Callithrix jacchus: one gene and its partners. The protein of the gene in region 3 binds, or shares a complex with, the protein of the main gene of each other region. Links are inferred from orthologs where the notes say so. Each region holds a gene or a part of one and is shown on either strand. Other genes may lie near its edges. The genes, in order: MCM2, SSRP1 and SUPT16H.

What was found.
Region 1: the proteins of SUPT16H (region 3) and MCM2 are in contact, whole or in part, in a crystal structure (PDB 8YJF), measured with the Homo sapiens proteins. The link is inferred for Callithrix jacchus from reciprocal best matches to the Homo sapiens genes SUPT16H and MCM2. Residues at the interface, in NP_009123.1 of Homo sapiens: Gln898, Ser899, Leu900, Asn901, Lys904; in NP_004517.2 of Homo sapiens: Ile73, Gly74, Asp75, Met77, Tyr81.
Region 2: SUPT16H (region 3) and SSRP1 share a complex: the UniProt entries of both Homo sapiens proteins name them as parts of the FACT complex. The link is inferred for Callithrix jacchus from reciprocal best matches to the Homo sapiens genes SUPT16H and SSRP1.

Annotation. Positions count from the first base shown.
Region 1 is NC_133516.1:75,791,425-75,795,580, forward strand, and holds the start of MCM2 (DNA replication licensing factor MCM2), read right to left. Parts: upstream 2,819-4,156; 5' UTR 2,780-2,818; coding exon 2,774-2,779; intron 1,358-2,773; coding exon 1,128-1,357; intron 1-1,127. UniProt on the Homo sapiens protein: Acts as a component of the MCM2-7 complex (MCM complex) which is the replicative helicase essential for 'once per cell cycle' DNA replication initiation and elongation in eukaryotic cells.
Region 2 is NC_133511.1:114,897,717-114,901,362, forward strand, and holds the end of SSRP1 (FACT complex subunit SSRP1), read right to left. Parts: intron 3,229-3,646; exon of another isoform or gene 3,125-3,228; intron 2,699-3,124; coding exon 2,569-2,698; intron 2,130-2,568; coding exon 1,959-2,129; intron 1,768-1,958; coding exon 1,679-1,767; intron 1,181-1,678; coding exon 994-1,180; intron 810-993; coding exon 738-809; 3' UTR 316-737; downstream 1-315. UniProt on the Homo sapiens protein: Component of the FACT complex, a general chromatin factor that acts to reorganize nucleosomes. The FACT complex is involved in multiple processes that require DNA as a template such as mRNA elongation, DNA replication and DNA repair.
Region 3 is NC_133509.1:55,857,925-55,861,570, forward strand, and holds part of SUPT16H (FACT complex subunit SPT16), read right to left. Parts: coding exon 3,625-3,646; intron 3,149-3,624; coding exon 3,021-3,148; intron 1,418-3,020; coding exon 1,282-1,417; intron 1,177-1,281; coding exon 1,050-1,176; intron 738-1,049; coding exon 619-737; intron 120-618; coding exon 1-119. UniProt on the Homo sapiens protein: Component of the FACT complex, a general chromatin factor that acts to reorganize nucleosomes. The FACT complex is involved in multiple processes that require DNA as a template such as mRNA elongation, DNA replication and DNA repair.

The DNA of each region.
Region 1 (4,156 bases), on a different chromosome or scaffold from region 3:
GGAAATAAGCAGCTTATAGTTGGGAGGAATGCCTAGAGCAGACACAGTGCAAAGCCGATTTAAGGGAAACACAGTTATACCAGGACAAGAATCCATGGCCCAGGCAGCAGCATTCAGTTTCATAAAGATACCTGCTGTATGGCAGGCTTGGGGCAAGAGCCACTCCTCCTGATAAAGGAGTTGTAGGACCTTGCTCCAGTTATTGTGGAAGGCTGCCCTCAGACCAGCAATCGCACCTTGGTGACTGTGAACTTGATCAGCTCTTGTTACTATGCTGCTCGAAAAGCATCTTCCTGTAGAACTCACTGGAAGCTGCCAGCAGGTGGCGGTAACGCTGATAGCTCTGTCGTTACTGTGTAACTTCAATCTTCATGGAAGTAATTTGCCCATAAATAGAGGTATTGTACACTGCACCCTCTTCACTGCGCACTGCCCACCTCCATGCCTTGAGGACCTAATGGGAATGGACCCCTTGCTGCGCACTGTCCATCTCCTAGCCTAGGTGACCTAATGGGGGGAGACCCCTTGTTTTATTGCTCACGACCCTATCACTATCCTTAAAGATGATTTCACTCACTGCCCTGCCCCCTAACCTATTCACAATAAATACGCTTCTGAACATTCGGGGCCTCGCCTGACTCCGCTCATAGGTGGCGTGGCCCCTCAAGCCCAGCTGCGTTTTCCTTGTACTTCTTTGTCCTATTTCTCAGATCCTGCGCCTCAGCACAGCATAAGGGACACCCCACAACCCTACACTGCTTCCTGTCTTTTTGAGTTGCTGTGTCCTATTGGAGTCCTCCAGATTAGAGGCCCCTGCATTTTCTGGGGTGCTTATGGAGTTGGGCTTACCGAGACCTTAGGGTCTAGTCTCTGCAAGTTACATACAGTAAGTTAGAGACCTATGTCATTGCTCTCTAAACCTGTCTCCCCAGAACACTGGACCAAGCTAAAGAGACCTATGCCATGGCTCTGTAAACCTGTCTCCCCACAACGCTGGACCAAGCTGTGCTCAAAGGCAAGAATGCCATCGGATTCATCTCCCCCCAGCTCCCATAACAAGGCCACCAAACGCACAATGGGATCTCTGCAAAACTATCTGCTGAGTCCAGGGCTTTGAATGAAATTACCTCTCCATGCCATCTCCAATGAGCTCCTCTCCATCCTCTTCTTCCTCCAGGGGCCCCTCTGTGCCTAGGAGCCCCTCAGACTCATCCTCAAAGGGTGGAAGGTCACGGCCAGGGCTGGAGGTCAGGGCATCAATGCGTCGGGAGCTCCGGCCAGGGCTGGAGGTGAGAGGATCATTGCCTCGCCGACGCCTAGCCGGGCTGGATGCCACGGTGAAGGACTCCGATGATTCCTGCAAGAGAAGGTGTCACTATCAGAAACCTAGGAGGCCGGTGAGGCATGATACAGCTTCCTTTTTATCATCAGGGGGACTTCCCTCCTATCTCACCACCTGTGAGTCTTGTCCTCCAACACACCAAACCCCTTCCAGCCTCCAGATCTTTGCACTTGCTGGTCTCTCACCTGGAATGCTCTCTGCTGAGCAGTCTGAGCCAGTGGCTTCCAAACAGGAGCCAGCTCAAATATCGGGTCACTCATATCACCATGCTTTCTCCATGAAAAACCAGAGGCTTTGTCATTTGCTTATTTACCTGTTTACTGTCTATTGTCTCCCCCTTATGCATTCGACCTGTTTCAGCACACACAGTGCGAGAGGTATTGTGACAGAGATAGATGGCATACAAGAGCCACCAAAACAAGGAGTCTGGAACTCCGACGTGGAAGAGTCAGTACAGAAGACAAAGGAGCAAGAAAATACTACGATAGTTAAGTGTAGTGTTCAGAACACAGATTACTGGGAATATATTTTTTTAAAAGTTTAAAGAAGTGTAGATGAGGAGGGAGACCCAGGCAGGCATTTGGGATTTCCTCCCCCTCTGTCATTCACTGTGCATCTCAATAGAAGAGAGAGTAGGCCAGCTGGCGCCTCCTTGCTCCGCTCTTCCTTGAAAACAACAGGCTAGGCCTTGGGGAAACTCTCCAGAAGGCACGAATTTTACTTAAAACAAGATCAACCCAGAAACCTTTTCACATGTGAGTCCTAAAACTGTAAACCGGAACCCTCTCATATGTGATTCCTGAAACTGTAAACTAAAACCTTTTCACATGTGAGTCCTAAAACTATGAATCTAAAATTCTTCCACATGTAACATCTAAAGTATAAGCCTATATAAAAGCTGAACCTTCCTTTGTTAGACCAGCTTGGCTGTTAGGCACTTATGCCACCTTGCTCCCAGCTGAAATGAATTCCTTCCTCCTGTATTCAGTGTCGGAGAGATCCTTTCCCGCGGCCGCTCCAGCTACATAGTGAGATGGGGGCCTGCCTTTTGTACGCTCAGCTACATAGTGAGATGGGGGCCTGCCTTTTGTACGCTCAGCTACATAGTGAGATGGGGGCCTGCCTTTTGTACGCTCAGCGCCGGGCATACGCCAAATAAGCATGTGTGGGATGAGTAAAGGACAGGGGCTGAGCGGGCCAGGCTCGGGTTAGGGAGCCCAAGACCCCAGATCAGCTCAAGGAAGGCGAGTCGCCAGGAGGCCTGGCGTCATGCGGGGTGCAGGCGGGAAAGCAGCCGCGCCCCGGAGCCTGGGGCTCAACCTCACCTAGAGCGCCGACCCGGACCACAGCCAGAGTGCGAGAACCGCGCAGCCTCCACACCTCTGTCCCGGCGTCCGCACCACCCCACCCGCCCCGCTCCCGCGCGCTCACCGCCATTGCAGTACCCCGCTCCTCTCCTCGACTCCAACAACAACCAGTTTTCGCGCGAAAAGTGGCTCACGTGACCCACCAAAGCCCGGGAAGCGCCCGACGGAACGCGACGTCATGACGTCGACGTTCGTTGGCAACCAGCTGGGTCACGAAGGGGCAGGCTAGAGGGTCCTGCCCCGCCCACGCCGTCCGGTGGTCCCGCCCACAACGCCCGAGCTGTCCTGGCCGGAGCCGGGAGTGTGCGGCTGGGTGCTGCGCGCGTGCGCTCACCTGCGCTGGCGTGGGAGCCTGAGCCGAGGTAGAAGCTTCGGCTCCAGGGCCTCCGACCACAGCTGCTGGCTGCGTGACCTCGGTCACATCAGGACCGTTTTACTGACAAGGCAACAGAGGTTTAGAGCCTGGTTTTCTCACGCCTTATTGTCTTATGAGAATTTTTTAACTGCCCCCAAAGCTCTAAGGCTCAATGCTTCAGGCAGCTGGACAATTCTGGGATTTTGTAGGTCACAACTGAAGCTTTAGTAGGAGTTATCTTTGTCCAAGGGAGCGAAGATGCAGGGAGGATGTTCCAGATAGAAGGATGCCATGTGCAAGGCCGCGGAGGGCACGGCACAGCGGGAATGTGCAAGCCCCTCCCTCAGAACTAAGAGCCCTCCCTAAACTCCTCCCTAAGACTAGAAGCTTGTGACGCCGGGCAACCGACAAGACTTGATGGAGACAGAATCCAGATCAAAAAAGAGCTCGATGTTTTTCTAGAGGGTTTGAGCATTCTGTATTCTGAAGGTAATGGAAGGCCATGGAAGCATTTTGAGCAGGGTGAGACGTGAACCAATGTGGGTTTTAGAATCCCTCCAGCTGCCACCAGGTGGAAGTGGATTGACCGAGGTTAAAGGCAGCAAATGAGGAGGTTGCTGTGGTTCTTTTCTAGTTACAGGCAGCTCAAAATAGGGCCTTAGTAGCAGAGTCAGGGCTGAATCGCAGCCCTCTTAGACACTTTGTGCAGTGAACAAGCATTTCTGCATGGACCCAGGGTAGGGGCAGGAGTGAAGGAGAGGACTGGAAATACAAGATGTTTAGGAGGTGGGGATTTTTTTTTTTTTTTTTTTTTGACCGAGTCTTGCTCTGTGCCCAGGCTGGAGTGCAGTGGCGTGATCTCAGCTCACTGCAACGTCTGCCTCCCGAGTTCAAGCTATTCTCTTGAGTAGCTGGGAACCATGCCCAGTTAATTTTTGTATTTTTAGTAAAGATGGGGTTTCACCATGTTGGCCAGGCTGGTCTTGAACTCCTTACCTGAAGTGATCTGCCTGCTTGGCCTCCCAAAGTGCTGAGATTATAGGTGTGAGCCACCGTGTCCGGCCAGGAGGTGGGGTCTATTGGTCTTGGTGA
Region 2 (3,646 bases), on a different chromosome or scaffold from region 3:
AAGCCTTGGAAGACCCTTGCTTGACTCATAGATAAGGATGCAGCCAAGAGCTGCCTCCCCCTAGCTTGGCTAATGGAGTGTAACTGGGAGACTTCCTAATCGGATCAGCTCTCATTTCTAGACTCTCAGGTGGCCCATCCCGGCAGAAGAGGGTGAAAACCAATGTTTGTCCAGCCGGGAACAGACCATGATGTACCTGGAGACTTACTTCCTGGCTGGCCAGGAAGCCTCTGCCCAATGTGGGCAGAGCAGTATCCACCACCAATAAAAGTGGGAGCAATGCACCAGGGCTACGAAGAAAGCAGAAGGACATTGTTTCCAAAGTCAGTTCCCTTTATTAAATGATTTTCACAGACCAGAAATACAAAATAAAAGTAGAAATAGGCCCCCGGTAGGAGCTACAGGCCTGGCCTCACATGACCTCTGCTGCAGCAACTTGAACAGGACAAGCAGCAGCTACATCGTTAAGGTCGGGAAAGTAAGATGAGGATTTGGATCCTGCATTGCCCTGCCTCCCACCCTATCTCTCCCCAAATAATAAACGGCCATCCTTGGGAAGCAGCAGAGTTAAGACATCTCCCCACTGCCCTAGTGACATACACACCAGCAGGAGAGCGTGTTCAGATGGCACAGAATCCAGGGACTACATTTCATGAGGAGAAACTGGTACCAAAATATGGGTGGGGAGTCGGGGGTTGTGAGAAGGCAAGCGCAAAGAGGAGAACCTTCCTCCGTTTCTACTCATCGGATCCTGACGCTGAGTCTTCTGAGCTAGGGGGAGTACTGGCTAGTTCTTCTTCTTCAGAGTCCTGAAAACCAAAGTTGTCTTAAGGGAAAAGGTGGGGGTCCCAGCCACTCTTCAGTGAAGGGCCCACAATTCCCTACCGCCCCCCAGCTGCAGCACCCACCCTCACAACCTCGGAATTCCACCATCCACTCCGACTCATTACCCCTCGCACTGCCCAGCCCAGAGTCCCCACGTTCCTGCCGCACCTCGCTCCGCCTCCTCTTCTTTTTGCTCTTGTTCTCTCCAGAAGAGCTCTCATCACTAGACACAAACTCTTTGCTTTTGAAGCTCTCGCTTAGCTGCCTTGAGGCCGACTTGGATGATGAGCCCCTAGAAGGTGTGGACTTCTTTTCCATCTTTACCTTTACTTTCTTCTTCTTCTTTGACTTGTCCCTGTTTTGGCAAGAGGGAAGAGGAGCTGGGCCTTCGGATCCCCTCACTCTCAGCATGGCCAGACCTCTCCCAGCTTCAACAAGGCCTTTCCCGATCCCAGCCACACCACCCATTTCACTCTGAACATAAATAGCCGTGTCAGTCTGAAGGGCACCAAGGGAGAATATCATGAGCACACCAGAAGGATTAGAGGGCATAGCCTAAAGCAGCCCCATATGCAAAGCCTACTTGACATTTCTTGCTTTACTTTTTAAATTTCATGTGAATTGTGTATTGCACTCCATCATAGTATTTTTTTTTTCATTCCCCCATACCTTCAAATAAAATGGTCCAGGAAAATGGGCCATATTTCCCTAATGACCTGAATGTCCTATCGTAATACCCAATACTTGGGCAATGGCCTACCCAGGTTTGAGAAGCACTACCTAAATCAGCCTGTAAAAAAAAAAAAAATCTGCCACAAAAATCAAGTTACTGGTCCATGTTCTTGATACTCACCTCTTAGAAGACTCGCCTCGGCCACCTTCATATTCCTTCATGGCTTTTTCATATTCCCTCCTGGCATCCTCAGCCTTGCGATCCCACTCCTGTCTCACAAACACAGAAAAATATAGCAAAGAATAAGACCTCTCCCCTCTCCCCTGATACAGGCAAAATCAATACACAAAGTCCCGCCAATGGCTCCTACTGCTCCCCATCAGTCCTGAGACTCACCACCCCAAGACAGCACCCCTTGCCAGCCCATGAGATGCATCATCCTTCCTCTGCTGCCACTCACCTCTTTCTTCTCTTTGGACATTCCCTTCCAGATCTCGCCAGCCTTCTTGGAAAGATCCGTGATACTGATGCCAGGATGGTCTGACTTGATCTTCTCTCGGCTGGCATTGAGCCACAGCATGTAGGCAGACATGGGCCTCTTGGGGGCATTGGGGTCTTTGCCCTTCTTCACCTACATAAGAACCCAAATGCCTTCAGCAATTTCCCATAGAACCCTACATTTTCCCAAAGAAGTTATTTAGATCACCTAACCTGGAGAAAAAGTAGAGGACTAAATAGCATCAGGCTAGATGAGAGCTTGTTAATGGCAAGGATAGCATCCCCTTCCTCTCTGCAGCTCAGTGCTTAGCTTACCAGGGGCCCCCTTTCCTCTGGGCTCCTGGGACAGAAGCCCATCTCCTAATTCAAATCTTCTAGAAGCTTAATAATCTCAGGGCTAGTGAGAAAAATTTCCAAGAAAGTACCCCTCAAGGTTATAATCACTGGCTACAAAAAACAGCCCCAAGGAAGACCAATGAACAGGTTCCTACTGGTGGTGGACAGGAAAAGGTAAAGCGAATGCCTCCCACCCCTGCACACCACACACGACCCCTCCCATCTACAGTCTGCACCTCCACAGGCTTCTTTCGGCTCTTGCGGTCCTTGGCCATCTTGGCCTTTTTGAGCTGTTTCCGCTTCTTCTCATCCCGGTCACTGTCACCCTCATTACTGGAAGAGCTGGCAGAGGCATTGCTGTCAAACCTACCAGAGGGCAAGCCAGGCTTAGACTTGGGGAGGAAGGACAGCATCCCACGGCCTCGGGACAGGAGGAAAACAAATCCAAAGATACCCACCCAAAAGGGGCAAGAGAGGAAGGCCAGAGGACAGCGTGCACCACCCATCCCTAACACTGCTTCCTCCCATTCACTCAGGTGGCGTCAACCATGCTCTCTCCAGACCCAACCACAGTAATGGCTTACTTGATGAATTAATTAATGAAAAACAAATCAATCAGTGGGCTTCTGCTGCTCTCCCTGGGCATGGCCAAACCGGTTCCATGTCCATCCCCAGGACCCCATGGGCAGAAACACTGCCTCATTCTTGCCTGGAACATAGCCAAAATCCACTTTACCACTTCCTTTGGAGTAATCGTTTTAATCTACCCTACAGTCTTTTTTTTTTTTCTCTTGTCAGATGGGTAATGTGCCGAGGTCATAACAAGGCTGGAGGATGGCATGCTTCACACACGCACGTGAACACCCAGCCATCATGTTTATGAACTATGAAAGGATCGGCCCCTACAGTCTTTTCTGATAAAAAATAATCAGTTACTACAGAAAGAGGAAAACCAACTTCAGTTTGACCCAGTACAGACCCCTGTAATTGACAGTCTTATTTGATATATGTGAAACTTCTCAAAAATGGAATATGCTGCTGGACAGTTTTCAAGGCACTTTCGCAAGTATTTGCTCATTAAACTTTCATAAGCATGTGGCAAGCTGAACTAGTGGACCCCTGTTGGGTTTTTTTGGTGCCCGACATTCTTTTGCAATACTTCTGGATTAAGAGAGCAGACTCCCAATATTCTGTTGGGAACCACCAGAGTGGGGGCAACCCCAACCACAGGCTCTAAGGGTGGGCACTTGGCCTATTTCTGGCGCATCAGAGCCCTGTCCATCCTAATAACTCAGACTTGGAAGGGGCAGGTAA
Region 3 (3,646 bases):
GCATAGAGGTCATCTCGGTCATGCATATGTTGATGTTTCCCCAAGTCCGTGGTTATCTCTCCGACTTCTGTGTAGAACTGCACATCCGTGTGCCGCTTCTTCCCAAACATGATGGCATTCTGCCATCATAAAGCAGAAAGAAGACGAAAGTCAGAAACACAAAAGTATCTGTGATGGAAATGGCAGTGATCCAAACATGGGCCTCCACAGCATGCATGCAGAAATAATTAAACCATCCCTAGTGTCATCACAAATAATGATGCTTGGGAATGTAAAACGGTGTACATTTTAAAAAGTGCTCTTACTTATTATAGTAACTTTGGAAATTATGCTGGTAACAAATTTTATCCAAAGCAAAACCTATTTATTTTAGAAATAGAAATCTGGAGATCTCATATATTTTGCTGGCCATTGCAACACATCAAAGGAACAAACATGCTTATGAGCACCGTCTAGATGCCAGGCCTTGTGGCCATTAGAGGCATTATTTCATTTAACCATCTTAAGGTTCTTATGTGAAAGGTGATTTTTTCATCACTATTTTATAGGAGGAAAGAAGCTGAGAGAAATGAAGTGTCTTGCCCAAGAGCTTATAGCTAGTTAAGTAGAAAGGTATACCTTGAGGTGAAAGTGCAGGACAATAATCATTTCTCCATCACAGGGCTGGAACAAAGCATGCTTAATATTATTGTACAATATATCCACTTTGTCTCCTCGAACAGATGTGAAGCGGAAGCCTGGGGAAAAGAATGAAGAAATGTCAAGCAGTATAGTTAGGTTAGGCCAGAAGGCACTGCAACTCTTCTGGCTGATTTGAACAGGGTCACAGGACACATGAACAACTGTATAGAGCTTTCCTTTCCTTCTGGCCATATACAGTAGTTTAAGTAGATTTCTCCCAGCATTTCCTTGTCATACCTTACTGGCACCATGCTCTACTCAACTCAGCTAACTGACCGATGACTCCTTGTCATACTTTATTATCTGATCTGTCATTCCTACAAATGTGCCCCTGAAGACAAAGCCTAGGCACACGAGATTATCCATACCATTGACATGGGCCTCTAGTGAGCCTTGCATCCTCTTCTGAGCAATATTTGGGCGAATATATAGATCTTTCAGTTTGGGATTACTCCGGTTTAGATTGATCACAAGTGAGTCTTGTTTTACAATGCCCTAAGCAGGAAGAAAATTAAAGTGAATTGTCATATATCCTTATAAGTCTCCAAAAAATACATATCCTTCTTTGCAGAAGAATATTTTGTCTGTGTTCAGACTCACCTCCTTCTCTTTCTCTTCAGCTTCTCGAGTTTTGTAACGTTTCTGTACTTCTTTTATAATTCGGAAAGCATTCTGAAGGTTCAAGGCTGGTACTGTCTGCTCCCCAGGTGCCTTAATATTTGAAGCTCGGTATGTACTGTCGAAAAGCATCAGCATTTATCGACATTTCTTTTTCAGGCCAGGGAAACTGTACTGATTACTTTATCTTATAAGCATCTTAATCTCTATTTTTTTTTTTTTTTTTTGGAGACAGGGTCTGGCTCTGTCACCACGCCCAATCTCAGCTCACTGCAACCTCTGCCTCCTGGGTTCAAGCCATCCTCCCATGTCAGCCTCCCAAGTAGCCAGGATTACAGGTGCATGCCACCATGCCCAGCTAATTTTTGTTATTTTTAGCAAATACAGAGTTTTGCCATCTTGACCAGGTTGGTCTCAAACTCCTGGCCTCATGTGATCTGCCTGCCTCTGCCTCCCAAAGTGCTAGGATTACAGGTGTGAGCCACCATGCATGCCCATTCCCTTTCTTTTTCTTAAATAAAAAATGTTACAAACGCCTAGTCCACTGAAGTGGGAGAAATCACATTTTCATTTTTCAAATCTGGCCTAACATCTCCAAATTATTCCATTTCACGCCATGAAATTGTAGAATCCAATGTGGCACCAATTTTCTTATTTGAGGCTTCTAATGCAAAATAGGTTTATTAACACTTATTTTCATGATTACTATTTTTTTGAGACAAGGTCTTGCTCTGTTGCTCAGGCTAGAATACAGTGGCAACATCACGGCTCACTGCAGCCTCGACCTCCCAGGCTCAAGGGATCCCACCTCAGCCACCAGAGTATCTGGGATGACGGGTGCACACTACCACACCTGGATCATTTTTTTTTTTTTTTTGGAACGGAGTCTCGCTCTGTTGCCCAGGCTGGAATACAGTGGCGTGATCTTGGCTCACTGCAACCTTGCCTCCTGGGTTCAAGAAATTCTTCTGCCTCAGCCTCCTGAGTAGCTGGGATTGCCAACACCTGCCACCACATCCAGCTAATTTATGTATTTTTAGTAGAGATGGGGTTTCACCATATTGGCCAGGCTGGTCTCAAACTTCCAACCTTGTGATCCACCCGCCTTGGCCTCACAAAGTTCTGGGATTACAGGCATGAACCACTGTGCCCAGCCAAGTTTTTTTTTTTAAGTAGAGACAAGGTCTCAACTACATTACCCAGGCTCAAAATATGTTTAATAAATTTAAAATATTCGGCCGGGCGCAGTGGCTTAAGCCTGTAATCCCAGCACTGTGGGAGGCTGAGGCCGGTGGATCACGAGGTCAAGAGATCGAGACCATCCTGGTCAACATGATGAAACCCCGTCTCTACTAAAAATACAAATAATTAGCTGGGCATGGTGGCGCGTGCCTGTAATCCCGGCTACTCAGGAGGCTGAGGCAGGAGAATTTCCTAAACCCAGGAGGCGGAGGTTGCAGTGAGCCAAGATCGCGCCATTGCACTCCAGCCTGGGTAACAAGAGTGAAACTCCGTCTCAAAAATAAATAAATAAATAAAAAATAATAAAATATTGACCATCTGAAAATAGTACAAAGTCAAGAAGGCAATGTGAAACAAGTATCAATAAGGAAGGCTTTGCCATTTACTAGGTAGGGAAAAATTCAGCAGAGAATGAAATGCTTCTGAGTACCACTCCAGACAGGATGGGTCTGGGCATAACTATTTTTGTGGGGACTCACATTTCCTTGACAAAAGTCGCTTCAGGGTTAGGAAAGATGTTGCCTTCATTCCTGCCCAGAGCACTGCCTGGGCAATAAAAGTTGATTCGCAAGTAAGTATAATCTCCTTCCACGGACATACTTATATTCTGTTCAAAGGAAAAGCATAAATAGTAAACAGATTTCTTTCCTAAATAGAGACTAGTAGTTATAGAGATGTTAAAATTAAGTTAGGAGTTACAAATTGACTGCACTTAACCTTAATCTCAATCTAATAAACTTACATAATTCATCTTTTTAAAAATGAATATTTTTTACCCCCCAAAAAAATCTCTGAATTCTCAAACTACCTTGTACCATGAAAACAACTACAAATTAAATAATGCTTAAGTAAACTTGAAAGAAAGATGGGCAAATCATGTTTCTAGACTAGTTCAACTTTCTACTAAGTGAAAAAAACTGGAAGAGGAAAGAGAATGACAGGGTAAGAGGAAAGTCAGTAAACTGAACAGAGTCTGAAGGAGCCTATTGTGGGAGACGTGATCAATGCAGATTATTTATGGCAAATACAATTCCTATTTTAAGAAATGGTTTGGATAAAACCTGATGCATTCAATGTTAGTACCTTGATAGTGGCAATGTGAAAA